Linked DNA regions of Saccharomyces cerevisiae S288C. The protein of the gene in region 2 interacts with the protein of the main gene of each other region in a pairwise test. Each region holds a gene or a part of one and is shown on either strand. Other genes may lie near its edges. The genes, in order: FMP48, TOR1, LST8 and GLN3.

The links.
Region 1: the proteins of TOR1 (region 2) and FMP48 interact in binary tests that used the Saccharomyces cerevisiae proteins (3 or more experiments, as listed by UniProt).
Region 3: the proteins of TOR1 (region 2) and LST8 interact in binary tests that used the Saccharomyces cerevisiae proteins (3 or more experiments, as listed by UniProt).
Region 4: the proteins of TOR1 (region 2) and GLN3 interact in a two-hybrid assay, tested with the Saccharomyces cerevisiae proteins (5 studies listed by BioGRID, with this or other methods).

Annotation. Positions count from the first base shown.
Region 1 is NC_001139.9:590,089-596,794, reverse strand, and holds FMP48 (protein kinase FMP48), read right to left. Parts: upstream 3,200-6,706; coding exon 2,090-3,199; downstream 1-2,089. Other genes in the region: YGR054W (translation initiation factor 2A), read right to left, coding at 1-102; MCO32 (Mco32p), read left to right, coding at 958-1,809; YGR050C (uncharacterized protein), read left to right, coding at 4,353-4,709; SCM4 (Scm4p), read right to left, coding at 4,918-5,481; polyubiquitin-binding protein UFD1, read right to left, coding at 5,884-6,706.
Region 2 is NC_001142.9:555,580-566,893, forward strand, and holds TOR1 (phosphatidylinositol kinase-related protein kinase TOR1), read left to right. Parts: upstream 1-3,836; coding exon 3,837-11,249; downstream 11,250-11,314. Other genes in the region: chaperonin-containing T-complex subunit CCT5, read left to right, coding at 335-2,023; ARP3 (actin-related protein 3), read right to left, coding at 2,230-3,579.
Region 3 is NC_001146.8:618,100-624,834, reverse strand, and holds LST8 (TOR complex subunit LST8), read right to left. Parts: upstream 4,769-6,735; coding exon 3,857-4,768; downstream 1-3,856. Other genes in the region: HRB1 (mRNA-binding protein), read right to left, coding at 214-1,548, 1,891-1,920; mitochondrial 54S ribosomal protein bL27m MRP7, read left to right, coding at 2,407-3,522; type II HSP40 co-chaperone SIS1, read left to right, coding at 5,270-6,328; putative ubiquitin-protein ligase ASI3, read left to right, coding at 6,594-6,735. UniProt on the Saccharomyces cerevisiae protein: Essential component of both TORC1 and TORC2. TORC1 regulates multiple cellular processes to control cell growth in response to environmental signals. Nutrient limitation and environmental stress signals cause inactivation of TORC1.
Region 4 is NC_001137.3:228,065-235,957, reverse strand, and holds GLN3 (nitrogen-responsive transcriptional regulator GLN3), read right to left. Parts: upstream 6,164-7,893; coding exon 3,971-6,163; downstream 1-3,970. Other genes in the region: SAH1 (adenosylhomocysteinase), read left to right, coding at 1-188; MXR1 (peptide-methionine-S-sulfoxide reductase), read right to left, coding at 467-1,021; YEN1 (crossover junction endodeoxyribonuclease), read right to left, coding at 1,218-3,497; YER039C-A (uncharacterized protein), read left to right, coding at 6,477-6,695; HVG1 (putative GDP-mannose transporter), read left to right, coding at 6,753-7,502; FMP49 (Fmp49p), read right to left, coding at 7,127-7,507; Smc5-Smc6 complex subunit KRE29, read left to right, coding at 7,706-7,893. UniProt on the Saccharomyces cerevisiae protein: Positive nitrogen regulatory protein. Required for the activation of transcription of a number of genes (including the allantoin pathway genes) in response to the replacement of glutamine by glutamate as source of nitrogen.

The DNA.
Region 1 (6,706 bases), on a different chromosome or scaffold from region 2:
GACAGGGAAATCCTTGGAGTTTGTGTTGGATTGCTCAAAAGTTGGGTAGCTTTGGAAGAGCTCTATATCCTGAGAGGTTTTCAGGAAAAACTGAGATGACATAATGTTTAGGTGTTATTGAACCTGACTGTTTGTTGTAGTACTATGTTTTTTTATCGAGATGCAATGGATAGTTTAAACACAACACGTCTCAATCAACACTAAAGAAAGTTATGATTCGGTAATCTATAGGTTGCTTCTACCGTAAAGAATTCTCGCTATGTCTAGTCGTCTGGATAGATCGAGGAAAAGGAATCTTCATTGAATAACGTACACTGAAAATAAATCGCTATGAAGCTGAAATTTCATTGATGGACATGAAGAAAGCGAAGTGAAAAAAAGGAAGAAAAAGAAAGTATTGAGGAACATTCTGCGGTCGGGTAATAATATCGTACAGTATGACAGCGGCAATTTTTAATAATATTTCTGCTCACTAATAAAGTAAAGAATATAAAGAAAGGACCTTAATCTAAGATAGATGTTACTTTTTCATCTTGCAGTTTTAACACATAGAACCGAGTCTAAACATATTGAAATATTTCGATTTCTTTTGTACGAGTGCTATAAAAATGGGAAAGAACTAAAAAAAATAGGACACAACATTAACTGCCTGAGTTTCTTGAGGAAAATATTAAAAGAAATATTAGTTAAATAAATAGATTTGGTGAGATGTATTTCTATACACTGAAAGACATTCATACGCATCTCATGATGAGTCGAGCGCCTTGCGTTAAGAAGGCGCGTAGTTACGGTTACGAAAAAAATGAATAGAATACAATGTAGAGAGCGCCCTTAAAAGGCCCATAAAGAGGGATGACAGGTATGAGCCATAAAGCTGCAAGCCTCTACGGAAAACGATACATCACAACCAAGGAAAGATAGACAGTTTATATTCATAGATAATAGGGGGAAAGACTTATGTTACTAAAGTGTGTTTGCAGAGCCGGCATAATATCTATCAAAGGAATCTTTCCTCGATGGTACTCCAATTCTCAAAAAGTGGCCAATTTGGGGCAAATAACAGATTATTTAGTGGTTAAAGGTGTTCCCAATTTGTTACAAAAAATGTTCAAGGAGTCAGTGTTGGCGGATAACGTTGTTTTTAGACTATTTCCAACATCGCATCCATATATTCCAGTGTTACATGGAAAATCAAAATACATGGCTTCTTTGAATGCAATGCGAATGATAGTACGAAAGTTTATCTTGGGCGATGAATGTCGCTTGCATATAAGTTCAGTAAAGACTCTAACATCGACATCGCATGATGAAGAAGTTAAATCTGCTCTTCAGAGTTATAATACCATAACATGTAATGACAAATTGGTGATCAAATGGCAAAGCTGCATACCGGAAGACCATTGCAAGATTACCAAATTAGAAATTAATGACAGATTGAAAGAGGAGAAACGAGGCAATGGTGCAGGCGGTTCATTTTCAATGAGGTCGGTACCAGTCATAGACTACATTTTACATCCTACAGCCAATAATTTGAACCAAAGTGTTATCTCTGAGTACCTTGAAAATGCAGCTGAAAGGTCAATGGAAAATAAGGTCAACGAAACTCAAAATTCCAAAGAAGATGAGAAGAAGAAAAATGATGGCGACGGTAAAAGAAGTAAAAAAAAGAGATTATCCCGGCTGATTAAGGGAACATTCATATTCGAATTTAACGAAGAAAATTCGAAAATTCTGGTTCATACCATTGAAGATGTTGAACTGATCCATTACGAGAAGAAAATTGCCACTCGCGGTGCATTTGCATGTTAATACGATATACAAGAATTAGATAGCATCTTTATTTGTAAATAATAAACACACCATCATAAACATCACCATCAACCTTGCACAGGAGAAAAAAGGAATAAAAAGGATAAATTGATTATGATTATTTTTTAAAAAAATGAATATGTAATATTATTTTATGTCGATTAGGTAGTATGTAATACTGAAATTATGCCAAAGTTCCTAACTAAAATTGGATAAGCAGGGGATAAAAAGTCAGATCAAGGAAAATGAGGCGAAACTTTCAAAAGGTCTTTTTTACTTCTTATTTTCCATCTTGAATTAGGCAAGGTTTCTCAAAATTTTTCAATTGGAACTTTGCTGGTACTGTTTCCGTGTTCACAGACCACTGTTCCCAAAACAGATCAATCTTATTTTGGTACGAGAAGCAGCTGTCCATCGAGCTATCTTTGTTCCATGCAGAATCAACTTCATTGATGAAATTCTCCATCGACCTCTCTTTAGCGTTCGATACCTTTAATAAGGTATCAACCATAATCTTGCACAAATGGAAGACATCATAAATGTCGGGTAGATCTTGCCATATGTACTGCCTCGTATGCTGCAGGCTAACGTGTAGGTCTTCTTCATCATTGTAACCACAGGAGAGCCTTGGTACTACGTATTTCCTGTAAATGAATGCAAATGGATCTTTTTCAAACTCATCGAAATTTTTTAGATGCTGAACCTTCTTTGATTTGGAGACTCTAAAAAGGCAATCGCCGAACATCAGATAAAATATGGTGGCACCCAATGACCAATAGTCAGCTTGGTATGTGTTATACAATGGAGCCGATGACCGATCGAAATTCTTCTTAAAACAAGAGTTACTAACGCGGCCAGAGAAAGTTTCTGGCGCCCTGTAATTATCGGTACCAATCTGGAAGTCGTTAGATTTAGGGGATTGGATAGCGTGACCCCAGTCTGCCAACTTGATGTCACCATTTATCGTTAGCAAAATATTTTCTGGTTTGATATCACGATGAGCAATACCCAAGCTGTGAGCAAAGCTGATTGCTGAGCACAGTTGTTTGATTATCTTTTGCATATCAATTTGAATCAAAGATGGAGACGACGGGCTACCTTGACTCTTAGCAATATCTAGAAAGTCATAAAGATCACCACATTCGCAGTATTCTAGCACCATGATGTAGTACGAGTCATCCGTGTAAAAGTCGAGCATCGAACAGATGTTGGGGTGAGGATTACAAGAACTCAAAATCTTCATTACATCATACTCGTTCTTCATGTTGGCTTCTGAAGTTTTGTATTTAGGAGTAATCTTTAAAGCGACGTAGCGGTTATGTGTAGTACTCCATGCTTTATAAACTGTGCTAAATGTTCCTGATTGTATAGATCTTAGTTTTGTATACATTTTTGCTTTTTATTATTCGGTATATGCTGATAATGATGTGCTTATTTAAATGATTGCGTATACGAGTGAGAATTTGATTCGGAGGGTATGAGAGTCGATCTTGAGTCCTATGTTATATGCTTTTTGTCAGTAACGGGTTATTTAATGCTAAGAATAGTTATTATAAAAGGGAAATTTTTTTGTATTAAGAATAGTCATCACTTACATGTGTATATTATATATATATATATATATGTATTGTACTCGTATTATTATTCTTTGGGGAAAGTATTAGTAGGTAGATGCAACTAAGCTCCGATTTTTCCAAAATTAAGTTGTCCCTTATTGCATGGTCCCCTTAATTATCCTTCCTTTATTGTATGTAACATGAAGCTGCATTTTTGTTCTCAGGCAGCATCATCGTTCCCTTCACCTAACCCTTCTAACTTCCTTTTACCTGTTGCAAGCTGTCTCATACCCGCGCTGAAAAGGCTGAGAACTGGGTATTGTCCCAATATTACGCTCGGCTTTTCTTTTCAAAAACTTTGTATTCCAGATACTTCCATGTGCAATTTCCCTAGTGCTCCCTGTACCAAGCCATCGGAGAGGAGATGCCTTCTAGAATTCAAAGCACGTAAGGGGTACAAAAATCGGAACGGGCCGAAGGCCGAAAAGAGACGGCCGTACGTGAGAGCACATGCAAAGTGGTGAACGGGACGTTACGGAGAATTACGGAACCTCTCAACAGAAGATGCGCCAATAGTCCTTCCGAACTAGCTCCACGGGAGGGGTATGAAGAGCAAGCTTGTTTACGCAGCCTCACCACCGCACCGAAAGACCCTCACGACAGAAATGGAGCGCCTTTAATGACGTTCGTCCGCTGCGGGCCAGAACAGCACAGTTTTGCTTCCCCGTTTCTTTTCCACTATTTCGTCACCCGCTCGAGGTGGCTCGCCCGCTCGGAGGCAAGCTGCACATTCATCGAACACGGAGAGGCACGGGCGAGAGAAAAAAAAGCCTATTGACCTAAACGGATGTCATAATGAAAAGAAGGAATCCGGTTTTCCTGGGCATGACTAAGGTAGCACGACTCAACTGGGCCAGATCGGTTGCTTCTTCCGATATACATGCATTAGATTAAGCCAAAGTAAAATCAAAAGAAAATTTAGCGGATATGAAAACCAATCTAATCTCCTCGTTTGCTTTCCGACCGCATGTAAGGTTCGGCTTTCTTGACTTCGGATATAGCTTAAAGTCGATTCTTGACGTCACTTCGCAATATCATTTCATTCCCATTAAACTGGCGTATGGACTTTGCGATCCTTTATTAATAGTTTATCCGGATCCCAGTTTTAGTTTGGCTCAAGCTGCAGGTGAAAAGAAAAAAGTCGTATTCCCTACGTATGAAGATGTTCCGAAACTACTGTTGACGTTTAAGCAGATTATGAATACGTATAGGAAGGGAAGTTTGGGACAGAGACAGAGACAGAGAGTGTACGGGCGAAATGGGAATGAATCACATTCTACGTAATTTGTCTTTGACTTTCTTAGAGATACGTATATAACTTTTTTTTCTGTGTGAAAAATAAATATTCTCTTATCCAATGTGGACAAGAGCCAAAAATACTCTGCTTTGTATATTTACTAGTTTTTTTGGCCTTTTTTTTCGCTAAACATATATATTAGTCTCGCTTAAATAATTGTGATGTTTGAAGGGAACGTGTCACGTGCTTCGTCGTTCATGCTTTGAATCCATCTAGGATACACTTACCAAAGGTAAAAATTGTTATACCGGTTACAATGCTCATGTGCAATGACATGTATGAGTGACATTTTACGCTTCTTTCGGATTCAGGTTTTAATGTTTTGGCGTTGTTCATCTTTGAGAATGGGCATGCAGCTTCCCCATCTTTGACTTCCGGGTGATGTTGGGGTAATTTTTCATCCTTTTGCTTTTCTAAATCATTTTGGTCACGTGTGCATTTTGGGGCTAGCTTGTGATTGAACAGTGATACTAAGTATAGGTAGGCTGCAGATAATGGGGCGACACCAAGTCCGCACAAAAGGTAGTTTGGTCTTTCTCCTGGTGCAGCTAGATAGTAGCTGAGTCCAAAGGCACCAGTAGCTAAACCACCTAAAACGGTGCTCCAGCATCCTAATGTGCACAAAACATTCTTCAAATGTTGAGTTAGAACATTTATTGGGGTGGTAATAGAAATCACGGTAGATGAAGTTAAAATACCGGCGTATAAACCTAATGATGAGACTGCGATACCTTTTACAATAGCTGGGGAGACTTGCATTTGTTTTTTAGTATATGTAAGGATTCTTATGAGTGTTTGTCTTAAACTTGCTTTTCGTGAGGTAAGGGTTAAAAAATCAGCTTGGATATAATTTGGAACAATAGAAACTTCTTTTCTCTCATTTATATACTGATCAACTCACAATTATATAACCTGGTTCTTTTTTTTTTTATTTTTCAACAACACAATAGATTCGAGTATGGGTAAACGAAGAGAATTACTTCGGCATTAAGCAAGGGAAATATCGCGCAACCGCGCACGTAATTATTTTTACTAAACGAACAGCAAATGCAGCAGAGCTAATGCGATGCATAAGATACTTGGATTCTAAGATCTGTTAACTTGAAAATGCTCTATATATCTGTCAAAGACACTATATTGTTGTATACTAGTATATATCTTTTAGTCAATTTCGATTACTTCCGGGCTTTTGGGAGCCTTGGACTTGGACGAATCATGGTCACTTTTCGTTTTTCTCTTATTGCTCTTCCTTAGTGAGATCCCTTGGCCTTGGAAATTTTGTTCACTGGATTTGCTACCAGCGGCACTTTCTTCGTCTTCTTTCGGTAGGACCATTGGGAAACCAAAGAATAATTGGCCTTCAGGCAGATCTAGCTTGGCGGGCTCGCCATCAAACGTTATCTTCATATCTTTTATATCTTGCTTGGGCTCCGCTTTCGGAGCTTTACCAGATATGTTTTGTCCCTGACCTACAAATTTAGATAGTTTGTTTCTGCTACTGTTAGCGATACCCGCATAGTCGATTCTTGTGGACATCGATCCCTGGCCAAGCACCGAGGGATCCAAAACTTGGCCCTTACCAAAAGAATTCTTTTTTTCTTTATCTTGCTGAGCTTTCAGCGCTTTGTAATCCGGTTCCACATATCCTACAGGTGGAGCAAAATCTGTTACTAAATCTGTTTCAATGACACATATACTCTTCGATGATGATTCTGGTTTGACTTCTAAGATCTTAATTTTGAAAGTTTTACCATTGTAACTAATCTCAATAACATCGTCCACGGTCAAAGTCGAGAAATTCCTCAGTACGTTTTCCAAAACTGCTTTGGGGTCGGAAATATCCAAGAAATCTACAGACTGAGGTTCTAACTTCACAAACTGGCCCAGAGGTACATCAGTAGATGAAATTTGCAGTAGAGATCCTGGCTGTATACCCAAAGTTTCCATCATCCATTGTGGTAAGTAAACTCTGCCCTCTTCAGCA
Region 2 (11,314 bases):
GTGTTCGCACATATTACAATTTGTACATTAATATCATCCCCGCTTTCATCATGTGAACATCTATAGAACATCATTTATAAAAACAAAAAATCTATGTACTGACGATATAATAGCGTACATTATCATATTATTCTTACTATTTATCATACTCATCGCATCTACTGTTCTCGAGAACGTGTAAAGTGATTTATGCCATTGAATGAAAAATTTTGTTAAGGAACAACTAGAAATATAATAGTGTCTTGGTGGATGTGGCAAATGAGGTGTGCGTGATAAAGAGCTACAAACTCAAAGTAATAACAGCTATCATCCATTTTTATAGCAATATTTGAAAATGGCTGCTCGTCCACAACAACCTCCTATGGAAATGCCGGATCTGTCGAACGCCATTGTGGCACAAGACGAGATGGGTAGACCCTTTATTATCGTGAAGGATCAAGGTAACAAGAAGAGACAGCACGGATTAGAGGCCAAGAAATCACATATATTGGCTGCTAGATCAGTAGCTTCTATTATCAAAACTTCGTTGGGTCCCCGTGGGTTAGATAAGATCTTGATTTCACCTGACGGTGAAATCACCATCACTAACGATGGTGCTACAATTTTGTCCCAAATGGAGCTAGATAATGAGATTGCAAAGTTGTTAGTACAACTTTCCAAATCTCAAGATGATGAAATTGGTGATGGTACTACTGGTGTTGTTGTTCTGGCAAGTGCGCTACTTGACCAAGCATTGGAGTTAATTCAAAAGGGTATACATCCAATCAAAATCGCTAATGGATTTGATGAAGCCGCCAAATTAGCCATTTCCAAGTTAGAAGAAACATGTGACGACATTTCTGCGTCAAACGATGAATTGTTCAGGGACTTTTTATTGAGGGCCGCCAAAACTTCTTTGGGCTCCAAAATTGTTTCCAAGGATCATGATAGATTTGCTGAAATGGCTGTGGAAGCCGTCATAAATGTCATGGACAAAGATCGTAAAGACGTGGATTTCGATTTAATCAAAATGCAAGGACGGGTTGGCGGATCTATAAGCGATTCAAAATTGATTAATGGTGTCATTTTGGATAAAGATTTTTCTCATCCACAAATGCCTAAATGTGTTTTACCAAAAGAGGGCTCTGATGGTGTTAAGTTAGCTATATTAACGTGTCCATTTGAACCTCCTAAACCAAAGACCAAGCATAAATTAGACATTTCTTCAGTAGAAGAATACCAAAAATTACAGACTTATGAACAAGATAAGTTCAAAGAAATGATAGACGATGTGAAGAAAGCGGGCGCAGATGTTGTTATATGCCAATGGGGGTTTGACGATGAGGCCAATCATCTACTTCTACAGAATGATTTACCTGCCGTAAGATGGGTAGGTGGCCAAGAACTAGAACACATTGCCATTTCCACAAACGGTCGCATTGTTCCAAGATTTCAAGACTTGTCTAAGGATAAATTAGGTACATGTTCCAGAATTTACGAGCAGGAGTTTGGTACTACTAAGGATCGTATGCTGATTATCGAGCAAAGTAAAGAAACAAAAACTGTAACATGTTTTGTTCGCGGTTCCAATAAAATGATCGTGGATGAAGCTGAACGTGCATTGCATGACTCACTATGTGTGGTACGTAACTTGGTTAAAGACTCACGTGTAGTTTACGGTGGGGGAGCAGCCGAAGTGACTATGTCCCTGGCTGTCTCTGAGGAAGCTGATAAGCAACGTGGTATTGATCAGTATGCATTCCGTGGATTCGCCCAAGCGTTAGACACCATTCCAATGACTTTGGCTGAAAATTCTGGTCTTGATCCAATCGGAACTTTGTCTACATTGAAAAGTAAACAACTGAAAGAAAAGATTTCCAACATTGGTGTCGATTGCTTAGGTTACGGGTCTAATGACATGAAGGAACTATTTGTCGTTGATCCATTTATTGGCAAAAAGCAGCAAATTCTTTTAGCTACTCAATTATGTAGAATGATTTTAAAGATTGATAACGTCATCATTAGTGGTAAAGATGAGTATTGATTTTGTATAAATAAATAATAAAAGATAAGTTTTAATCACATATCCCACAATTTTTTTTCTCAGATCAGCATTTGGGGTTACTTGATTGTACATATACGTGTATATAATCAGTTGTATACGTATATTTAAATGAAGTGAGGGGCGTTTCAGTTATTTGCATTTGTTTTTGTACCTTTTTCCTTATAAGATGAGTCATGACTCAATAATCAAACCATGTTGAAAAGGCTGAAATTTCTAACAATTTCCGGACCATATTCCTCATAATCTTTCTTAGTGTGACAGTAGCCTTTGAATTCGGCTGTTTGTGCCAGCAGCGAGCCACCAAACCAGACAGCGTTTCTCTGCTTCCGATGAGAAATCACGGAAACATCTACACCAGTCGATTTAGTTCCACTTAACAGCTCACTTTGTGCGATTCTGTTATTTACGATAGACTTTAGATCTCTTTGTAAACGACGTCCAAAATCTTTGAACATGGTAGACCCACCTGATAGTACAATATTGTTGTATAAACCTTTACGGACGTCAATAGGGCAAGCCTGGATAGTTTGATCCACTACCGTGGGTAAAGGAGTCAAGAAGTCTGAGGATGCAATTTCTGGATTGAAGAAGATTTCAGGTGCTAAGAATCTTTCGTAACCAATATCTACGACTTTTCTCCTTGTCTTTTCTTGGTTTTCCACCACAAATTGGGCAAATTTAGAAGGATCTTTATCGAATTTGTTAAACTCCTTTACAATATCTGGACAGACGTAACAGTATTCTTGCTTAATCTTTTCGGCAGTTCTCAAGGAAGTGTCTGCTTCACCACGTTCTCTTAGCAAGGATTGGATGAACAATGTGATGTCTCTACCGGCTATTGGAATGTTTTTAATTGCTGAGCCAATGACGTAACCTTCCGCCACTGGGATGACGTGGGTGACACCATCACCAGAATCTATAACAGTACCAGTTAATGATCTATCCGTGACTTTTGAAGAGGTCCATGACGCAGCCAGAGCCAAAACTGCTTGCACAGCAATATATAGACCAGCACAATTAAATGATTCAAAAAAAATCTCCGCCACTTGCTCTCTGTTTTCTGGAGGATTCAGTGGTGGTTCGGTCAATAGGAAAAAATGATCTTCAGGCTCTGTTCTTAAATACTTGAAGATGGAATTTTCCCAGAATCTTTCCATGTGATCCCAATTTTCCACTTGACCGTGTCTGATTGGATAGCTCAAAGAGTAAGAGGGTCCTTGGGATGCTACTAAAGCCTCATTTCCAATATAGAAATCCAAATCTTCTGTACCTCTTTTACCGGATAAATTATTAGACAGCAAACCACCTGTTGCACCATTGAAATTGGTTGCAGAGGTGGAATTTCCAAAGTATGATGCTTCATTACTAACTGCTGAGGGCGCACCAACGCCCGAGGACTTCTTTGTATTTGAAGGTGCAGCTGTGGCTATTGCAGTAGGGAAGACCCAGGAGGGAGAATCATTACCGGCGAAACCGAGCTTGGTCAGCCCGGTACCATTGTCCATGACAACAGCGGGATTGTTTAAGTATGACATTGAATCCTAATTTCTTGCTCAATCGTGAGGCCTTACGGTAGGGCCAATTCTTGATTAAACTACTCTCATATATTTTTGTTTGAAACTTTTGAAAAGGGGTTCTCGCCATTTTGAAGCCGCGGACAGCCGGGTGACTACTGAAAGTCCTTATCGAAGGGTCTTCTTGAGCTTACGTTAAAAAAGAGCCATAGTAGCTTCACGAGAGAGTCATTGGTAAAGTGAAACATACATCAACCGGCTAGCAGGTTTGCATTGATATGGAACCGCATGAGGAGCAGATTTGGAAGAGTAAACTTTTGAAAGCGGCTAACAACGATATGGACATGGATAGAAATGTGCCGTTGGCACCGAATCTGAATGTGAATATGAACATGAAAATGAATGCGAGCAGGAACGGGGATGAATTCGGTCTGACTTCTAGTAGGTTTGATGGAGTGGTGATTGGCAGTAATGGGGATGTAAATTTTAAGCCCATTTTGGAGAAAATTTTCCGCGAATTAACCAGTGATTACAAGGAGGAACGAAAATTGGCCAGTATTTCATTATTTGATCTACTAGTATCCTTGGAACATGAATTGTCGATAGAAGAGTTCCAAGCAGTTTCAAATGACATAAACAATAAGATTTTGGAGCTGGTCCATACAAAAAAAACGAGCACTAGGGTAGGGGCTGTTCTATCCATAGACACTTTGATTTCATTCTACGCATATACTGAAAGGTTGCCTAACGAAACTTCACGACTGGCTGGTTACCTTCGAGGGCTAATACCTTCTAATGATGTAGAGGTCATGAGACTCGCTGCAAAGACTCTGGGCAAGTTAGCCGTTCCAGGAGGTACATATACCTCTGATTTCGTGGAATTTGAGATAAAGTCTTGCTTAGAATGGCTTACTGCCTCCACGGAAAAGAATTCATTCTCGAGTTCGAAGCCAGACCATGCTAAACATGCTGCGCTTCTGATTATAACAGCGTTGGCAGAGAATTGTCCTTATTTACTCTACCAATACTTGAATTCCATACTAGATAACATTTGGAGAGCACTAAGAGACCCACATTTGGTGATCAGAATTGATGCGTCCATTACATTGGCCAAATGTCTTTCCACCCTACGAAATAGGGATCCTCAGTTAACTAGCCAGTGGGTGCAGAGATTGGCTACAAGTTGTGAATACGGATTTCAAGTAAACACATTAGAATGCATCCATGCAAGTTTGTTGGTTTATAAGGAAATCTTGTTTTTGAAGGATCCCTTTTTGAATCAAGTGTTCGACCAAATGTGTCTAAATTGCATAGCTTATGAAAATCATAAAGCGAAAATGATTAGAGAAAAGATTTACCAGATTGTTCCCCTATTAGCATCGTTCAATCCTCAATTATTTGCTGGCAAATATTTGCACCAAATTATGGACAACTATTTAGAGATTTTAACCAATGCTCCAGCAAATAAAATACCACATCTCAAAGATGACAAACCACAGATTTTAATATCGATTGGTGATATTGCATATGAAGTCGGGCCCGATATCGCACCTTATGTGAAACAAATTCTTGATTATATTGAACATGATTTACAGACGAAATTCAAATTCAGAAAGAAATTTGAAAATGAAATTTTCTACTGCATCGGAAGATTGGCAGTTCCCTTGGGCCCCGTTCTAGGTAAATTATTAAACAGAAATATACTGGACCTGATGTTCAAATGCCCTCTTTCCGACTATATGCAGGAAACGTTTCAAATTCTGACTGAGAGAATACCATCACTAGGCCCCAAAATAAATGACGAGTTGCTTAACCTAGTCTGTTCAACCTTATCTGGAACACCATTTATCCAGCCAGGGTCACCAATGGAGATACCATCGTTTTCGAGAGAAAGAGCAAGAGAATGGAGAAATAAAAACATCCTACAGAAAACTGGTGAAAGTAACGATGATAATAATGATATAAAAATCATTATACAAGCTTTTAGAATGTTAAAAAATATCAAAAGCAGATTTTCGTTGGTGGAATTCGTGAGAATTGTTGCACTTTCTTACATTGAGCATACAGATCCCAGAGTAAGGAAACTAGCTGCGTTGACATCTTGTGAAATTTACGTCAAGGATAACATCTGCAAACAAACATCACTACACTCTCTGAACACTGTATCTGAAGTGTTATCAAAGCTTCTAGCCATTACGATTGCGGACCCTTTACAAGATATCCGTTTAGAAGTTTTAAAGAATCTTAATCCATGTTTCGATCCCCAGTTGGCACAACCAGATAATTTGAGACTCTTGTTTACTGCACTGCACGATGAGTCGTTCAATATTCAGTCAGTAGCAATGGAGCTTGTCGGTAGGTTGTCTTCCGTAAACCCTGCATACGTCATCCCATCGATAAGAAAAATACTACTGGAACTGCTAACAAAATTAAAATTCTCAACTTCTTCTCGAGAAAAGGAAGAAACTGCCAGTTTGTTATGTACTCTTATCAGGTCGAGTAAAGATGTTGCGAAACCTTATATCGAACCTCTTTTAAATGTTCTTTTACCAAAATTCCAAGATACCTCTTCAACGGTTGCATCAACTGCACTGAGAACTATAGGTGAGCTATCTGTTGTAGGGGGCGAAGATATGAAGATATATCTTAAGGATTTGTTTCCTTTAATTATCAAAACATTTCAGGATCAATCAAACTCTTTCAAGAGAGAAGCTGCACTTAAGGCCCTTGGTCAACTTGCAGCCTCATCTGGTTACGTGATAGATCCTTTACTCGACTATCCCGAATTATTGGGTATATTGGTGAATATATTGAAGACAGAAAACTCTCAAAATATTAGGAGACAAACAGTCACTTTGATAGGTATACTGGGAGCTATCGACCCATATCGCCAAAAAGAACGTGAGGTTACCTCTACTACCGATATATCTACAGAACAGAACGCCCCGCCTATCGACATTGCTCTTCTCATGCAGGGCATGTCTCCTTCGAATGATGAGTATTATACCACTGTTGTCATTCACTGCCTGCTAAAAATCCTAAAAGATCCATCCCTATCATCTTACCACACTGCCGTGATCCAAGCGATTATGCATATTTTTCAAACCCTTGGTCTAAAATGTGTTTCATTCTTGGACCAGATCATCCCAACTATTTTGGACGTAATGCGTACATGCTCTCAGTCACTATTAGAATTTTACTTCCAACAGCTTTGCTCTTTGATTATTATCGTAAGGCAACACATAAGACCTCATGTCGATTCTATATTCCAGGCTATCAAAGATTTTTCTTCGGTTGCTAAGCTACAAATAACGCTTGTAAGTGTTATTGAAGCAATATCAAAGGCTCTGGAGGGTGAATTCAAAAGATTGGTCCCTCTTACTCTGACCTTGTTCCTTGTAATTTTGGAGAATGACAAGTCTAGTGACAAGGTCCTCTCCAGAAGGGTATTGAGACTGTTAGAATCGTTTGGTCCTAACTTAGAAGGTTATTCGCATTTGATTACACCCAAGATAGTTCAAATGGCAGAATTCACCAGCGGGAACCTACAAAGGTCTGCAATAATTACTATTGGCAAACTGGCCAAGGATGTTGACCTTTTTGAGATGTCCTCAAGAATTGTTCACTCTTTACTTAGGGTACTAAGTTCAACAACGAGTGACGAACTCTCAAAAGTCATTATGAATACTTTAAGTCTACTGCTAATACAAATGGGCACATCCTTTGCTATCTTCATCCCTGTCATTAATGAAGTTTTAATGAAGAAACATATTCAACACACAATATATGATGACTTGACAAACAGAATATTAAACAATGATGTTTTACCCACAAAAATTCTTGAAGCAAATACAACGGATTATAAGCCCGCGGAACAAATGGAGGCAGCAGATGCTGGGGTCGCAAAATTACCTATAAACCAATCAGTTTTGAAAAGTGCATGGAATTCTAGCCAACAAAGAACTAAAGAAGATTGGCAGGAATGGAGCAAACGTCTATCCATTCAATTATTAAAAGAGTCACCCTCCCATGCTCTAAGAGCTTGTTCAAATCTTGCAAGCATGTATTATCCACTAGCCAAAGAACTTTTTAATACCGCATTCGCATGTGTTTGGACCGAACTTTATAGCCAATATCAAGAAGATTTAATTGGGTCATTATGTATAGCCTTATCTTCTCCCTTAAATCCACCAGAAATACATCAAACATTGTTAAACCTGGTAGAATTTATGGAACACGATGACAAGGCATTACCAATACCAACTCAAAGCCTGGGCGAGTATGCTGAAAGATGTCACGCCTATGCCAAAGCGCTACATTATAAAGAGATTAAATTTATTAAAGAGCCTGAGAACTCAACTATTGAATCATTGATCAGCATTAACAACCAGCTGAATCAAACGGATGCTGCAATTGGTATATTAAAGCATGCCCAACAACATCATTCACTTCAATTAAAGGAGACATGGTTTGAAAAATTAGAGCGTTGGGAAGATGCACTACATGCTTATAATGAACGTGAAAAGGCAGGTGATACTTCCGTGAGCGTTACACTCGGTAAGATGAGATCCCTTCATGCCCTTGGCGAATGGGAACAGTTGTCGCAATTGGCAGCTAGAAAGTGGAAAGTTTCGAAGCTACAAACTAAGAAGCTAATAGCTCCCTTGGCAGCTGGTGCTGCGTGGGGGTTGGGAGAGTGGGATATGCTTGAGCAATATATCAGCGTTATGAAACCTAAATCTCCAGATAAGGAATTTTTTGATGCAATTTTATACTTGCACAAGAATGATTACGACAATGCTAGTAAGCATATATTAAACGCCAGAGATTTGCTTGTGACTGAAATTTCCGCGTTGATCAATGAAAGTTATAATAGAGCATATAGCGTTATTGTTAGAACTCAAATAATAACAGAGTTTGAGGAAATCATCAAGTATAAACAATTGCCACCTAATTCCGAGAAAAAACTTCACTATCAAAATCTTTGGACAAAAAGACTGCTGGGCTGCCAAAAAAATGTCGATTTATGGCAAAGAGTGCTTAGAGTAAGATCATTGGTAATAAAGCCCAAGCAAGACCTGCAAATATGGATAAAATTTGCAAATTTGTGCAGAAAATCTGGTAGAATGAGGCTAGCAAATAAGGCATTGAATATGCTACTAGAAGGAGGCAACGATCCTAGTTTACCAAATACGTTCAAAGCTCCTCCCCCAGTTGTTTACGCGCAACTAAAATATATTTGGGCTACAGGAGCTTATAAAGAAGCATTAAACCACTTGATAGGATTTACATCCAGGTTAGCGCATGATCTTGGTTTGGATCCGAATAATATGATCGCGCAAAGTGTCAAACTCTCAAGTGCAAGTACTGCTCCGTATGTTGAGGAATACACAAAATTATTAGCTCGATGTTTTTTAAAGCAAGGTGAGTGGAGAATAGCAACACAACCGAACTGGAGAAACACAAATCCGGATGCAATTCTTGGTTCTTATCTATTGGCTACACATTTCGATAAAAATTGGTACAAGGCATGGCATAATTGGGCCTTAGCTAATTTTGAAGTAATATCCATGGTTCAGGAAGAGACTAAGCTCAACGGAGGTAAGAATGATGATGATGATGACACGGCAGTTAATAATGATAATGTGCGGATTGACGGTAGTATCCTAGGAAGTGGTTCTTTGACTATTAATGGCAACAGATACCCGCTAGAGCTTATTCAAAGACATGTTGTTCCAGCGATCAAGGGCTTTTTTCATTCAATATCTCTATTAGAAACAAGTTGTTTGCAAGACACGTTGAGGTTATTGACTCTTTTATTTAACTTTGGTGGTATTAAAGAAGTCTCACAAGCCATGTATGAAGGCTTCAATTTGATGAAAATAGAGAACTGGCTTGAAGTCTTACCACAGTTGATCTCTCGTATACATCAGCCAGATCCTACGGTGAGTAATTCCCTTTTGTCGTTGCTTTCTGATTTAGGGAAAGCTCATCCACAAGCTCTCGTGTATCCTTTAACTGTCGCGATCAAGTCTGAATCTGTTTCAAGACAAAAAGCGGCTCTTTCAATAATAGAGAAAATTAGGATTCATAGTCCAGTCCTGGTAAACCAGGCAGAATTAGTTAGTCACGAGTTGATCAGAGTAGCCGTTCTATGGCACGAATTATGGTATGAAGGACTGGAAGATGCGAGCCGCCAATTTTTCGTTGAACATAACATAGAAAAAATGTTTTCTACTTTAGAACCTTTACATAAACACTTAGGCAATGAGCCTCAAACGTTAAGTGAGGTATCGTTTCAGAAATCATTTGGTAGAGATTTGAACGATGCCTACGAATGGTTGAATAACTACAAAAAGTCAAAAGACATCAATAATTTGAACCAAGCTTGGGATATTTATTATAACGTCTTCAGAAAAATAACACGTCAAATACCACAGTTACAAACCTTAGACTTACAGCATGTTTCTCCCCAGCTTCTGGCTACTCATGATCTCGAATTGGCTGTTCCTGGGACATATTTCCCAGGAAAACCTACCATTAGAATAGCGAAGTTTGAGCCATTATTTTCTGTGATCTCTTCGAAGCAAAGGCCAAGAAAATTCTCCATCAAGGGTAGCGACGGTAAAGATTATAAATACGTTTTAAAGGGACATGAAGATATAAGACAAGATAGCCTTGTTATGCAATTATTTGGTCTAGTTAACACTTTGTTGAAGAATGATTCAGAGTGTTTCAAGAGACATTTGGATATCCAACAATACCCGGCTATTCCATTGTCGCCTAAATCTGGTTTACTAGGATGGGTACCAAATAGTGACACATTCCACGTTTTGATCAGAGAACACCGTGATGCCAAAAAAATTCCGTTGAACATTGAACATTGGGTTATGTTACAAATGGCCCCCGATTATGAGAATTTGACTCTTTTACAAAAAATTGAAGTATTCACGTACGCTTTAGATAATACAAAAGGCCAAGACCTTTATAAAATATTATGGTTAAAGAGTAGGTCGTCAGAGACATGGCTAGAACGTAGAACAACTTATACGAGATCTTTAGCAGTTATGTCCATGACTGGTTATATTCTGGGACTAGGTGATCGCCATCCAAGCAACCTGATGCTAGATAGAATCACCGGTAAAGTTATCCACATTGATTTCGGCGATTGTTTTGAAGCTGCCATCTTAAGAGAAAAGTATCCAGAAAAAGTGCCATTTAGACTAACTAGGATGTTAACATACGCAATGGAAGTTAGTGGAATTGAAGGCAGTTTCCGAATTACTTGTGAAAATGTCATGAGAGTCTTAAGAGATAATAAAGAATCATTAATGGCGATCTTGGAAGCTTTTGCGCTTGATCCTTTGATCCATTGGGGATTTGATTTACCGCCACAAAAACTTACTGAGCAAACTGGAATTCCTTTGCCGTTGATTAATCCTAGTGAATTATTAAGGAAGGGGGCAATTACTGTCGAAGAAGCGGCAAATATGGAAGCAGAACAACAAAATGAGACCAAAAACGCCAGAGCAATGCTTGTTTTGAGACGTATTACAGATAAATTAACGGGCAATGATATCAAGAGGTTCAATGAATTAGACGTCCCTGAGCAGGTTGATAAACTGATCCAACAAGCCACTTCTATTGAAAGGTTATGTCAACATTATATTGGATGGTGCCCATTCTGGTGACTGCGGTGTCATTTTTCATTTCGTGCTTTGTTTACTATTTATTTTTTTTGTATTACGCATTTGTA
Region 3 (6,735 bases), on a different chromosome or scaffold from region 2:
AAAGTACTTTTTTGGATATTTGTTAAACCCATTTTCACTGTATTGGAAAAATCAGACTCTTTTCACAGTCTTCTTCAAAGTCTTCGAAATTTTTTCAGATTATACGTATACACAATGACATTATAAAGTTAAAAAGCCTGGAAATAAGTCAAGAATGAATAAATACTTGTCGCAGATCCAATAGGTGAGAAAGTATATAGATCGAGAGTAGTTCTAGAGGCGTTTAGCGTACGATATATCCAAATCACAACCCCCATAGTTATAATTATTCAATCTTTCAATACAAACATCTGCATCATCGACGTTATCGTATTCAACGACAGCTATTCCAGTTGGTGCCCCTTTGGAATCATACCTTAATTCAGCATTGTTAACCTTTCCGATTGTCTCGAAAAGGTCGTAAAGATCACTTTTTGCAGTTGAAAATGGCAAATTACTGCAATATATGAGTCTATTTCTTTCACCTCCACCGACAACGTTTTCGGTAAATTTTCGAGCTTCTTCGTTAACGGGAGAATCATCCATTGGGATATCAACATCGTCTCCATCACTGTGGTTATGTACGCTTTCCTTAGACTTGACATCCAAGACGTTACCCTCTATACTATAACCGTTGTATTTCTCAATCGCTCTATGCAGATCTTTAATATCATAAAAGGACACCGTACCAGATCCAGTGGATACTCCATCGCCATCCAATTCCACATCAGCGTGTGCGACATTCCCACATTCCTTGAATATGTCTTTCAAAGCCTGCCAATTAACGGAAGCAGGTAAATTTTTTACAATAACTTCATGTGTTTTTCGGTTATGTCTAAGCTCTCCTCTATCGAGTGCTTTCCTTTCCTTGATATTGTTTGACGGTGGTGGATTATCTTGCCTGACGAAGATTTTACGATCCATGAAGAAGGCCCCATCGTACTGGCGGATGGCCCTGTCAACATCATCCGAATTAGTGAACTCTACTGTACCCATACCTCTGTGGTGCCCTCTTGATGTAATTATATCCGCGCGGACTACTTTTCCTATCTGTGAAAAAAACTCAGTGAGATCTTCGGGGGTGCTGTCATATGTTAAATTACCCACGAATATACTATTGGAATAGTTTCTATTGACCTTTTCTTCGTATGTACTATCCAATTCACGTGCCAACAAAGGACCGTAATCACCTCTTGCTCCACTACTACCAAAACCGCCTCTCCTACTGTCATCACGTGTATTGTGTCTACTCCTAAAGCTTCTAGGATAGTCATCACGTCTGTTCCCATAACGACCAGTCACATCTCTTCCTCTGCGCCTATCATCGTAACGGTCTCTAGATCTAGGATTATCTCTGTTATTGAACCTTTCTCTTTCTCTGTAATCAGACCTTTCTCTACCTCCTCTATATTCTCCTCTATCTCTGCTTCCTCTGTACGTATCTGCGAACTTACGCCTACCGTTATAATTACCTGACCTCCGGGACAAATGGTTGTCTCTTTCATAACCATGATCATCACTCATCCGACGACGAACAGGTGATCTCGACCTCGATCTACTTCGATTATTCTACAACAATGAATAACATTAGTAAAAGTAACTAAATTTCATAATGAGAGAGACCAATAAGTCATTGCGTTTCAAAGTTGGAATAAACTGTACATTATAGCATGGCAGGTAGAAAATCAGGGTTTTATTTATAATTGATATTCTCACTTTCATAGCCAGTAGATAAACATTAGCAATGCATTCAAAAAACCCCCTTTAACCAGTGGAATCACATTGAAGCAAGCGTTTTGAAGGCAGCATTAAATGGTGACTCACCATTCGTTGATGTCTATTTAATTCCAATGACCTCATAAAGTCTCATTTTACAAACTTTTCTTCACCTCCCTTATCAATGAAACATACGTTTTCTGAACCTCGTTCTTGATCAGACATATCCTGTTAACTTAATATTTGGCGTTCTATCTGCTCATTCAAACTGTTTTCGAACTCATGAGCAAACATAATTATGAAATTTTTCAGCCAGTACTCTACTTTTTCATTTCCCTCGCTAAACAAAGAGAGTCATTTGAAACGACCCAAGGAAAGACGTAAATTGAGGTATATGTAGTGACCAGAAGAGGATAAGGATGGCTAGAGTTTGGTGTTCAAGTTCAATTGTTTGGTTGAATAGGTACTAAAAAGATTTTCACACAACGGCTTCTCTGTAATGTTATACACACTGTTTTTATACCAATTATGCAAATTTGGCTGTTATGACTGGGTGTTTCGATATCTGACGTTCCGCTATTGAATTTTAAAGCTCTTTCTTTGGAGACTCATTCAAGATAGTTCACTGAAGAATGAAGTTGGCTCATTGTAAAAATAAAACTCGCCAGTTTGGGTGGTCATAATATTTCAAGCTTAACCTAAGGTGAGAATATGTGGAATCCTATTTTACTAGATACTTCTAGTTTTTCATTCCAAAAACATGTGTCTGGTGTGTTCCTTCAAGTGCGTAATGCCACCAAAAGGGCTGCGGGCTCGAGAACAAGTATGAAGGATTCTGCAGGAAGAAGGTTAGGACCAAAAAAATATGAAGGCCAGGATGTTTCCACAGGTGAAATTATTATGAGGCAAAGAGGAACAAAGTTTTATCCTGGAGAAAACGTTGGTATAGGGAAAGATCATTCCATATTCGCCTTAGAACCTGGTGTTGTTCGTTACTATCTTGATCCTTTTCATCCTAAAAGAAAATTCATTGGTGTTGCCTTGAGGCGTGATTTGAAACTGCCATCTCCTCATTTTGAGCCTACCGTAAGGAGGTTTGGCCGTTTTGAGTTAACAAATAAAAGGGCAGCATATAAGGAAGAAAATTCTATTTCTAGAAAAGACTATCTCGCAAAACCTAATATTTTGAAGCAGTTAGAGGTCAGGGAATCTAAAAGAAAGGAGTTACAAGACAAGTTGAGTAAGGTTCTTCGGGATGAACTTAAGTTAGATATAAAAGACATCGAATTGGCAACGTCATACTTAATTCGTGTAAGGGCTTCCCTGAAGAATGGATACCCCATAGAAGATGCAAGGTTCAATAGTAGATATTATTTAAAAGAAGAAGAGCGTTTGAAGGCAAGGAGAGAAAGCTGGACGAATGAGAAATTGTCGGAGAGTCTATCCAAGATTGATGAGTGTAGTGATCTTTTGAACTCATCTACATCTTTCAATAACAAGCTAGAGCTACACCAGTATATTTCGGAACAAGAAAAACAAGCTTTGAAGGCAAAACTATTAGAGGACCTAGAAAAATCCCAACACTTAGAAACCAAAAAAGACAAGAATTATATTAAGGCGCTTTTCAAGGACGCTTGTAATTTTTTGACTTTATCTGAAGAAGTACATTTGCGTAGGAAATACTTAAAGTCGGTCTTCCCCGAAACAGATAGTACGGTTGAAACCAAAAGCGGGAAGAAGTCAATTGTGTCTAGACGTTTTGATTACACCAAAAATAAAGTTGAAGTCATTGCTAGAAGTAGGCGGGCTTTTTTGAGCAAGCTTTGATTTTCTTTCCTTACGCACAGTATGTACACATATAAAATGTTTAAGAATGCCTGTAAATATTACTATTTTGTCGCGCAAGTAGCTAAACCTTTCGTCTACACGAAACTTAAAATTTAGTGCTACATGCAAGGGAATATGTTTATACTGTACATTCTCGTCTTCCTTTCATTGATGATATGCATCGCGATTGCTTTCATTTTGTGAACAATCAATTAACTAAAATGCACAGGATAGTAAAATCTATATTTACAAAAAGGCGGATAAGCAAACACTGAAAATCATAATGTTTTTTGTCACTTCGGTCCTTCAAGCTTGGTAGTTGATAAATTGTAAACTATACATCGTTTAATGCGACACATACAGCTCCCTTGTGGTGTCCACCGTACTGTCTGACAATTTCTCTAGTTGATAAATCCCATAATCTCACGTAATGATCGGACGATGCCGTTACTAGATACGCACTGTCAGCACTAAATGCGCAATCCCAAACCCACCTTTGGTGGCCATCCAATGTCGTTTCTAGCTTAAAATCATCATCAATCGACCACACACGAGCAGTGTGATCCGCTGAACATGTTGCCAAATGTTTTACATCAGATGATAGTAGAATTCTAGTTATATATGTGGAGTGCGCTCTGAATTTTGTTACCGGTTTTAGATGGGATGCGTCAGTATGATTTGGCATTTCCCATACGTAACAATTACCTTTAGTATTTGCTGCCGCTAACATCGAACCATCACTTGCCATAGATAAAGACTGGAGAGAGGTATCGTCCTCAGGTGTCAATTGATGGGTACACTGATTTTCTCCTAAGTCCCAAATTCTTATATTACCATCTCTATCACAAGATATCAACTCGCCTTGGTTAGGATGAATTACGACTTCATTTACTGGTGCGTTATGTTTGTAATTTCTAGGAATGGACGGAGAACGCACATCCCAAACTTTAATGGTCCCATCTTCGCTAGAGGTCACCATCCATCTGTTGTCCTGTTGAAAAGAAACGGAGGTAACGTTTCCCCGATGACCCTCAAAGGATGCTACTGGATTGGGATTTGTCGTCCGAATGTCATAAAGCCGTACGTTTTGATGGCCTGCTGTTGCCAACAACTTTTTATCGTTGGTGATTTCTAAGCGATTAACCTGTGAGTCGGAATGCTGAATTGTTCTTGAACAAACCCCAGTAAGAGCCTCCCAAAATCTTATTGTGTGGTCATAGCCAGCAGATACTAAGATAACAGACATCAATCAGAACTCCTTTTTTATATGGATGACAAGACTGCCACGTTGATCGCTGCGCTAATAATATATGGTTGTCGCACTCTTCTATAACATGATCAGTAATAGCTAGTCGTTACTTTTCTGAATCTTAACGTATTGTGTTACCCTCTTTGGTTTATATGAACGTTCCAGAAACTTCTGGAAAAAGAATGGGATATCCTTTTACGGGTTTTTCAACCACTGTCAGCACAAACTCCTTGCCAAGGTAGTTCGAGATTTAATATATATTGTATAGATTTCTCGTCCCTTTACCGTATTGTTAATCCCTTTTTAAACTTATGCGCTTTCTTGTCAAAAATTCTAATTAATATTATTTAAGCTCTTACACGAATTCTTTTAACGACTTAGAATTGTATAACCATCCAGAAACTCTTCAGAGGATAAAGGATAAGTTGTTTGCATTTTAAGATTTTTTTTTTAATACATTCACATCAATATAATAGAGTATAGTATACAGAACTAATAATGGTCAAGGAGACAAAACTTTATGATTTACTTGGAGTATCTCCAAGTGCTAATGAGCAAGAACTGAAAAAGGGTTATAGAAAAGCAGCTCTAAAATATCATCCAGATAAGCCAACAGGTGACACAGAAAAGTTTAAGGAGATATCAGAGGCCTTTGAAATTTTAAATGATCCTCAAAAAAGGGAAATATATGATCAATACGGTCTCGAGGCTGCTAGATCTGGTGGTCCAAGCTTTGGTCCTGGTGGTCCTGGCGGTGCTGGAGGTGCTGGAGGCTTCCCTGGCGGTGCGGGCGGATTCTCCGGAGGACATGCGTTCAGTAATGAGGATGCTTTCAATATTTTTTCACAATTCTTTGGCGGCAGTTCCCCATTCGGTGGTGCTGATGACAGTGGCTTCAGTTTCTCTAGTTATCCATCTGGCGGCGGTGCTGGTATGGGAGGTATGCCTGGAGGAATGGGAGGAATGCATGGCGGCATGGGAGGTATGCCTGGCGGCTTTAGATCAGCATCAAGCTCTCCCACGTATCCAGAGGAAGAAACAGTTCAAGTTAATTTACCAGTTAGTCTAGAAGATTTGTTTGTTGGTAAAAAGAAGTCATTTAAAATTGGAAGAAAGGGCCCACATGGGGCCTCTGAAAAGACACAAATTGACATTCAATTAAAACCGGGTTGGAAAGCTGGTACCAAAATAACATACAAGAACCAGGGTGATTACAATCCTCAAACGGGCCGTAGAAAGACTTTGCAGTTTGTCATCCAGGAAAAGAGCCATCCAAACTTTAAAAGAGACGGTGATGACCTAATTTACACTCTGCCACTATCTTTCAAGGAATCATTGTTAGGTTTTTCAAAAACTATCCAAACAATTGATGGCAGAACCTTACCTTTGTCGAGAGTACAGCCTGTCCAACCCTCACAAACTTCTACTTATCCTGGTCAAGGTATGCCAACTCCAAAGAACCCATCTCAGAGAGGTAATTTGATTGTAAAATATAAAGTGGACTATCCAATATCACTAAACGACGCTCAAAAACGTGCTATAGATGAAAATTTTTAATAGTAATCCTAAGCAAATATAATTATAAACTCAAATAAATTTATCACCACAGAAATCATATAATATACATCATTAATTTTGACTCAATAATCTTAAATTGCGCGGTGCGGTGCGCGGTAAATTAAAGTTTTTGTATGTCTGCATTACCCTGCCCTCTGGCATATAAATGATGTATGTAAGGAATGGTTGACTTGACAGAAGGTCACCGAGAGGCTACAATTTGTCAGGAACAGTCATTACGTAGGGATTTTCAAAAGTTTGACTGATGTCTACAAATATATTGCAACATGTTAAGCAATTGCTCCATAACAGAGATGTATTTAGCTTTTTTCACAACAAGACTGGAAATCTTAATTACCTAGATAACACAACTCAGAAACCGGAAGTTTTTGTAAGTCCAAATTCTA
Region 4 (7,893 bases), on a different chromosome or scaffold from region 2:
TTGAATTCCAAAAGACAGGCCCATTCGAAGTTGGTGTCCACGTTTTGCCAAAGATCTTGGATGAAGCTGTCGCTAAGTTCCACTTGGGCAACTTGGGTGTTAGATTGACTAAATTGAGTAAAGTCCAATCTGAATACTTGGGTATTCCAGAAGAAGGTCCATTCAAGGCCGACCACTACAGATATTGATCAATTCAATTCCCATTTCAGTTCTTCTTTCTCACTATTTTTTAATGTTCAAAAACTCAACGGTTTGATCATCAAAAAAGATCATAAATAAATTGCAAATATAAAAACAACAGCTAACAATCCTATCACAGTATTAATACTAATACATGTGATACTAAGTTACGTTATCGAAAAGATAGATCCTGTATACCTATATATATAATAAATTCTTCAACAGTAAATATTTCATTCATGCACTTGACTTTTTTTCATAAATAAGGGCACGTACACTAAAAAAGCTACATTTCTCTCAGATAATGAGTAGGGCATGCATATCCCTGTGGATTCTTATCTAAATATAACTGGTGGTATTCTTCAGCATCGTAAAAGTTCTTGATTGGTTCAATAACTGTGGCAATCTTATTACCCCATTTTGGTTGCCATTCTTCCTTTATTTTGGCTAATTCTTTTAAATCAGCATCTGAATGAGCGAACAATCCACTGCGATACTGTGTACCTTTATCAGGTCCTTGTGAATTAGATGTAGTAGGATCATGGATTCTAAAAAAGAAATCAGTTAATTCTCTCAAAGTTATCACTTTGGGATTATAGGATACTTGTAAAACCTCCGCAAAATCTGTGTCACCACCACAAACTCTCTTATAAGAGACACTAGAGGGGCTATCCTTTTTAGACTCTTCTCCATTAGCGTAACCTACTTTACAATCCACTATACGGTCATTCAAATACTTCCTATACATATGTTCTGTACCCCAAAAACATCCACATGCTAATGTGATTAATTTATCCTTGGCTGGATCATACTTAATGGTTTTTGAAATAAGCGACGACATTGCAACTTGATTTACTTGTTAAGTTTTTGACGTTAGAATATAACTGTCTTTCCAATTAAATCTATATATATGATATTGAAAAATGTGTCTCTGTCTACTCTTGTTTATATATGCCCTTCATTTTACTCATCGCAACTCCCTCGTTTTCGGCGCGATCAACTGTGGTGGCGGATTTTTTGACGCTGTGCCCGTTAACTCATTCAATAGTGCTACTGCTATCACTGTCACAGGCTACAAACCGGTCGACTGTATCTTGTGCGTCTGTGACAAGTTGGTCAAGGACAGAGGAGTGTTCTCTTTCTAACCTTGGAGCAGTCAAGTTTGGAGGCAACATCTTAGTACCTTGAAGGCGAGCATTGATTGTGATGCTTGAGCGTGATTTTAAACCAGACTCAGGCGGATTTTTCTCAGCATTAGTAGTTCTTGACTTTTTTATTGGTGATATTTCTATTACGTCCTTCCAAACGTCAACCTGTTCGTCCTGTGTAAGATCCCGAATTCTTTTACCGGGTGAACTATCTAAAACGCTTTGGCTGTTTGTAATCTCATCTACAAAAATCAACGAATCATCGTCATTATCGCTGTGTTCATCGACGGTGGTCAGTCTTGTGGGAGCCGGTATTTCTTCCAGACTAGTATCTTCGTCTGTATCTACAAAAAGCCTTTTTCTCACAGGTTCCAGGATTTCCTTTCTCGACTCGCCTACCTTTCCGATACTTTTAATCGGCGAAGTATGCTTTCTTAAAAACTCATCCAAGTTATTCTTCTGTGGTAGCCGAGACTTATTCGATTTTTTACCTTTCTTCTCTTTTTCTTTCTGTATAAGTTGCTGTGTCTCATAATATTGAATTACTAATGGATGCGATTGAGGTATCAAGTATTTGGGTAACCAAAGACTATTTGGGTGTTCCATTATATCCATCTGACGTCGTGTGGGACTCTTGCTTCTACTGGGAGAATTACTGCGCTTCAAAGGAGATTGAGAAGAAATGGGTATATTAGGCAAGAATGTTGTATACCGTATTTTAAAACATGGTATTTGGAACTTTCCACCATCTATGTTCATAATTTTTTCTTCGGTAATCCTCATATTACCTTTACCTATATTATCGGACTCATCAATTGATAAAAATTCTCTTAATAGAAACATCTCGTGCATAGAATCATGAAACCACTTGTCGAAGCTAGAAATTTGAGGCAAATTCAAACTTTGTAAAAAATATTTCAGTTCATTGAAATTTAAGTTTCTGTAGTGTCCGTTTCCAGCCATATTTATGTATTTATCACTGAGAACTTCTTCATCAAAATATGGTTGGACAATGGGGTGAAAATAGTGCATGATTGCGACAGTTGATGGCCAGCCTTCAAATGAACCTTGATTCAATAAAACAGGATAATTTCTTCCAAATAGCTCGACAGAATGATCCTTGCAGTATAAATATAATCTTTTTTGAAACAATCTATACCGAGACTTCCTCAGACTTTCTGATGTCAAATCTTCTAAATTGAAATCTTTGAAAATGTCATAAAATTCCATGGAAAAGTTAGGATCTTCGCATTGAGCCAACTGCAAAGATTTGTTTTTACCCAAACCCTTGACTCCACGATTGTAATCGGCACCTAATAGCACGCTGAAAAATAAGAGAGACAGGCGATCAAACTTCTTCCCTGCTACTTTATTAATTTTGGGTAGATCTATAACAGTAACAAAAGATTCTTTACTATCATGATGTCTACTGGGACTGTGGGAAGTTATTGAACTTGGGCCAAAATCATCGTAGAATTTCGAGTAATTTTTCAGGATTTTTTCTCCCCCAAATACGAGAGTATCTGAATCGTTACTTAAAATGAAATCTACAGCCCCAGAAACTTGCAGCCAAACACACTGGGCTTCTCCCTCCCCACATGCGATTACATATGAAATGTTCATCAAGTCTAATAATTTCCGTACAAGACTGATGAACTCAGGGTCAGATGGCGCTAGCAATCCTTTACAATTGCCATAAACTTCATGATTCTTAACATGCTGTTCCCAGCTTGAATAGTACTCTTTCTCATCATCACAAGTAGTAGCGTTCTGTTCGTGGTTAAATTTCCTTTTGAAAGAGGGTTTCATAACTCCGTCAAATACAAGCAAGAATTCGACGTTTAAACTCAGTAGTTCTTTTAATCGAGATATGAAGTTTATCACAGCTTTTCCTGTAGTTGTATAACTTCTGCTACCATAATATTCTTGACTACTGTCGATATCACTATCACGCGGAGAACGGGTAGGACTCCTTGATCTTGATCTAGATCTGGCGCTTATATCTATATTTTGGATAAATCCACACTCAAATAGCCATCCATATGCGTCAATCGCGATTCTTGGAGCTCTTTTTTGCGATTTATTAAAGTCTATGACAAACTTTCTCAACGGAATTCTGGAATCTTGCAGATATGGCTTCAAAAATTCCCATATTTGTGAGACACCCATTTTCTTGTGCAGTATCCAGAATATACAAGTAGGTAAAATGCAATAGAACTGTCATTTCATTGGATGGACCATATACATTATTGTTTATGTGTCAGTCAAAAGCTAGTTAAATTATTCAACTGTGGGCATTATAAGAAAAAGAAAATGCCATTAAAAAAGGGCCGTTTAAAAAAAAAAAAGAAAGAGATAGACAAAAGAAACAGGGGAGATAGAGAAAGAATACCAAATAATAATTAGAGTGATATTACAAATTCCTAATAATATATGTCTACACATAAAAGTAATACAAATAGAACAGCCAGTGTTCAATGCCAATATACTACCATTTCTTTTTTTACAAGTAATTTGATCTGAAAATAGCAAAACAAATAATACCAATGCTCAGGATTGTGGTCAGAGGTAATGAAAATCTATCAATGCAACCGTTCAGTAATTATTAACATAATAAGAATAATGATAATGATAATACGCGGTCATATACCAAATTTTAACCAATCCAATTCGTCAGCAATTGCTGAACTTTCTTTAGAAGATCCTTTTGTGGAATTATCCTCACTGATCTTTCCGCCTGCACTCACATCTGCTTCATATTTTATAGGTGAAGTAGAGTCACTTGATAATCTATTGTTAAATTTGTGATTTGAGATAAACGAATTCGACTCCGAGTTCTGCAATTGTTGTGATAACAATGAGGTATGTGATTTTCTTGAAGAAGGTCTTGAGACACTCGGTGAATCTACAGGAGTATTAAAAATATCAAAATTTGGCTTTTGAGAGACAAAATTTGATGATCTTGAATTTGTTGAAACGCTATTGCTTGAATTCCAATTCTGTCTATTCGAATTCGTGTTTGTGTTGGAATTCACGTCCACTTGTTGCTGTTCGTGCAGTTGTTGCAAAGACGCAGCCATAAACGATGAGGAGTACGATGCATTGCGCGACATCTTTCTTCTTGGTATATTCATTCCTTGACGTTGGAAAGAATTTGATAATAGATTCTGCTGTAGAGGACTATTTGAGTTAAAGTTTGCGGACGATATAATTCTTGGTGAGGATGCGACACTATTTCCTGCACTTACATTATTTGTTGTGTTCATTAGGTTCATGTTCATGTTGAACTGCTGTGAATTAGCGCTATTAGGTGAAGGTTTTGGTAATATCGGAACAACAGATCTGGATGAAGATTTACTGGAACTTGAGGTGTTCGATGAAGTACTACTTCGTCTTGAAGACCTTCTAAAATTAGGAGTAACAGTGTTCGAATTGTGACGCATTAAGTTATTAGAATTCAAATTTGCATTGCTTGCTCCATTAAAATTTGCGTTACTACTATTATACGATTGGCTGTTCATGAGGACCGGGGAGGGGACTGAGTTGAAGTTATAGCCTCCCCTATTTACATTAAGGATATTATTAGTATTACCGATGTTGTCTCTAATGATTTCTTCAGGTATCACTCTAGATAAAGAGTTTTGTTGTAGTGATTTTTTCCTCGATCGTATGGGTTTAGCATTTGTAGTGGTTACTGAAGTTGAGGCAGTTGCAGGTGCACTTGGAGTATTTTGTGCAATGTTTGGGTCCGTTTGTTTGGCTCTCTTCTTTGAAATCCTCTTTTTGATAACGTCCGATTTTAAGGATAATGGCCTCATGGTACCATGTAATTTCTGGAAAAGACCGCAGGCATTGCAAAGAGTATTCCCCTCTGGGCTTCTCCTCCAAAGCGGTGTCTTGAAAGTTTTACAATTGAAACATTGTATCAGAGGTTTTTTATTTTGTCCTGATGGTTCCATATTGGATATACTGGAAGATACTGAGGCAGCTCTTTTGAAATTGGCCAGGGACGTGGACGACATTGGCTTGATAAGTGAGTTTTTTCTTACAGAATTTGTTGTGTTGGATGAAGATAATCCTATCGAATCGCTCTTCTTCAGAAAAGGATGCTGGATATTACTATTGTTGCTATTATTATTATTGGTAATGTTCATAGCGGATGAAGATGAGTTGTTGTTTTGTAGTTTGTAGATGTTGAAGGAATGGTGGGACTGCGCATTAGTATTTGAGTTGTTATTGATAGATGGCTGGTTGATGTTGCTGTTGGACGTGCTGGAATTATACGGGAACAGTGAGGATTTGGAGACGCTGTTGCCGAGGGAACCGTGGTTGTATTGCGGTATGTCGGAAGTAAAGCTGTTAGGAGCACTAATAGTAGCTGAACCGCTCGAGTTGCTGGGCGTCATGTTGAATTGGTCCACGTTAAAGTCCCAAAGTTGTGCAATTTCACCATTTTGTTGGTTGGATGCGGCTATGTCGATGGGCTGAGTTGTGGCAAGTGAATCAAACATCGCAATATCATCATCCATATGATTGGTAGCTGGTGTGGTGTCCTTGACCGTCTTAGTAGTCACGCTGGTCGTGGCAGCTGCTGTAAAAGGAGACACGAAGTCCGTAAAATATAAATCATCGGGCAGTGCCTCCAGCATTGAGTCGAATGTGCCGCCGTTTAATCCACTGGCAAATGCTATATCCTCCTCGTTTTCACCGGTGTTGCCACTACTCTGGCTCCTACTGTCACCAGTTTGTCTCGGCTCTTCATTACTTCGACCATGCACGTCCAGATGACTATTCAGCAGGTCGTACAGCTTCGAATTTTCGGGGTCGTCTTGCATTTGTTTGTTGGTGGGGGAAAAGGGGGCCCTGTGCTCTCTCTCGTCTCTCTTTCTTACACACTCTGTTATTGTGGGATGGGCTACTGCGCTGACATTAGCTTACCACTCTTGAACATCTTTCTCTGTCTTGCAAGATGACTCTTTCCACTCTCTCAGCATTGCCATGTCACTTTCTTTCGGGAACCTGTCCGCCGGGTAATAGAGCAAAAAATGTGAATATATCATATTAAGAATGTTTAAAGGGCCAGGTAGAGATAGAGTACAAGAATGGAAGGTTGAAAAGCTGTAAAGAGATCAAGAAGGTGTGGTAATTATGAGCAAGCATAAGCATGAATGGACGGAATCAGTGGCCAACTCTGGGCCGGCTTCAATCTTATCTTACTGCGCGTCCTCGATTTTGATGACAGTAACGAACAAATTCGTGGTTAACCTGGACAACTTTAACATGAACTTTGTGATGTTGTTTGTACAATCACTGGTGTGCACTGTGACGCTATGTATCCTACGAATTGTAGGCGTTGCTAATTTTTGATCTTTGAACAGGACAGATGTAAAAAACTGGTTTCCAATTTCTTTGCTGCTCGTATTGATGATTTATACGTCGTCAAAGAGCTTACAATACCTTGCCGTGCCCATCTACACAATTTTCAAGAATCTGACGATCATTCTCATTGCTTATGGCGAGGTCCTCTTCTTTGGCGGAAAAGTCACTTCTATGGAGTTGACGTCATTTATTATGATGGTCCTTTCATCTGTAGTGGCCACCTGGGGCGATCAGCAGGCCATTGCAATCAAAGCATCATCTTTGGAGGATCTCGATCAGGAACTTGTTGAGTCAACCATCTTTGTGTTGAATCCGGGGTACCTCTGGATGTTCACCAATTGTATTTCGTCTGCATTGTTCGTTTTGATTATGCGGAAGAGAATTCGGCTGACTAACTTTAAAGACTATGATACTATGTTTTATAACAACGTTCTGGCATTGCCTTTGCTGCTAGTCTTTTCCTTCATTATGGAAGATTGGTCCACAAAGAATTTGTCTGTGAACTTGTCCGCCGACTCACTGGCAGCAATGGTCATCAGTGGGCTCATGTCCGTGGGGATATCGTACTGTTCCGGCTGGTGTGTTCGTGTAACTTCCTCTACAACGTATTCTATGGTTGGTGCTTTGAACAAATTGCCCATAGCGTTGGCGGGATTGGTGTTCTTTGACGCTCCAAAAAACTTTTTGTCCTTCTTTTCTATCTTTCTAGGATTTCTGTCTGGCCTGCTGTACGCTGTGGCTAAACAGAAAAAGATACAACAGCAAAAAGTTCTAGCAGCTACTCTTGAGAAGTAGTACATTCTTCATTTGCTCAAGCAAAATATACATTTATATTCATTTATATGGGGTCTTCTTTGTATTTGTTTTAGGTTATTCCTTTTTTTATGTTACATATTATGTCAGCATCGTTTTATGAAATATATTCATATATAATTTTTCAAGTAAATAGCAATAAAGTGATAAAATTTTGTTAGACGCACAAAAGGGCAGTGTCACAAATGGGAAGCGTGAACTCATCACCGAATGAAGAGTTTGAAACTGTGCCAGATTCACAAATTTCAGGGTTTGATTCTCCTTTGATACCGACTAGTGTGGGAAGTTACTTTCGCGATGACGATGACGATGAGAAGGTGCATCCCAACTTTATTAGTGATCCTGAGAACGACAGTTTGAATAGCGACGAAGA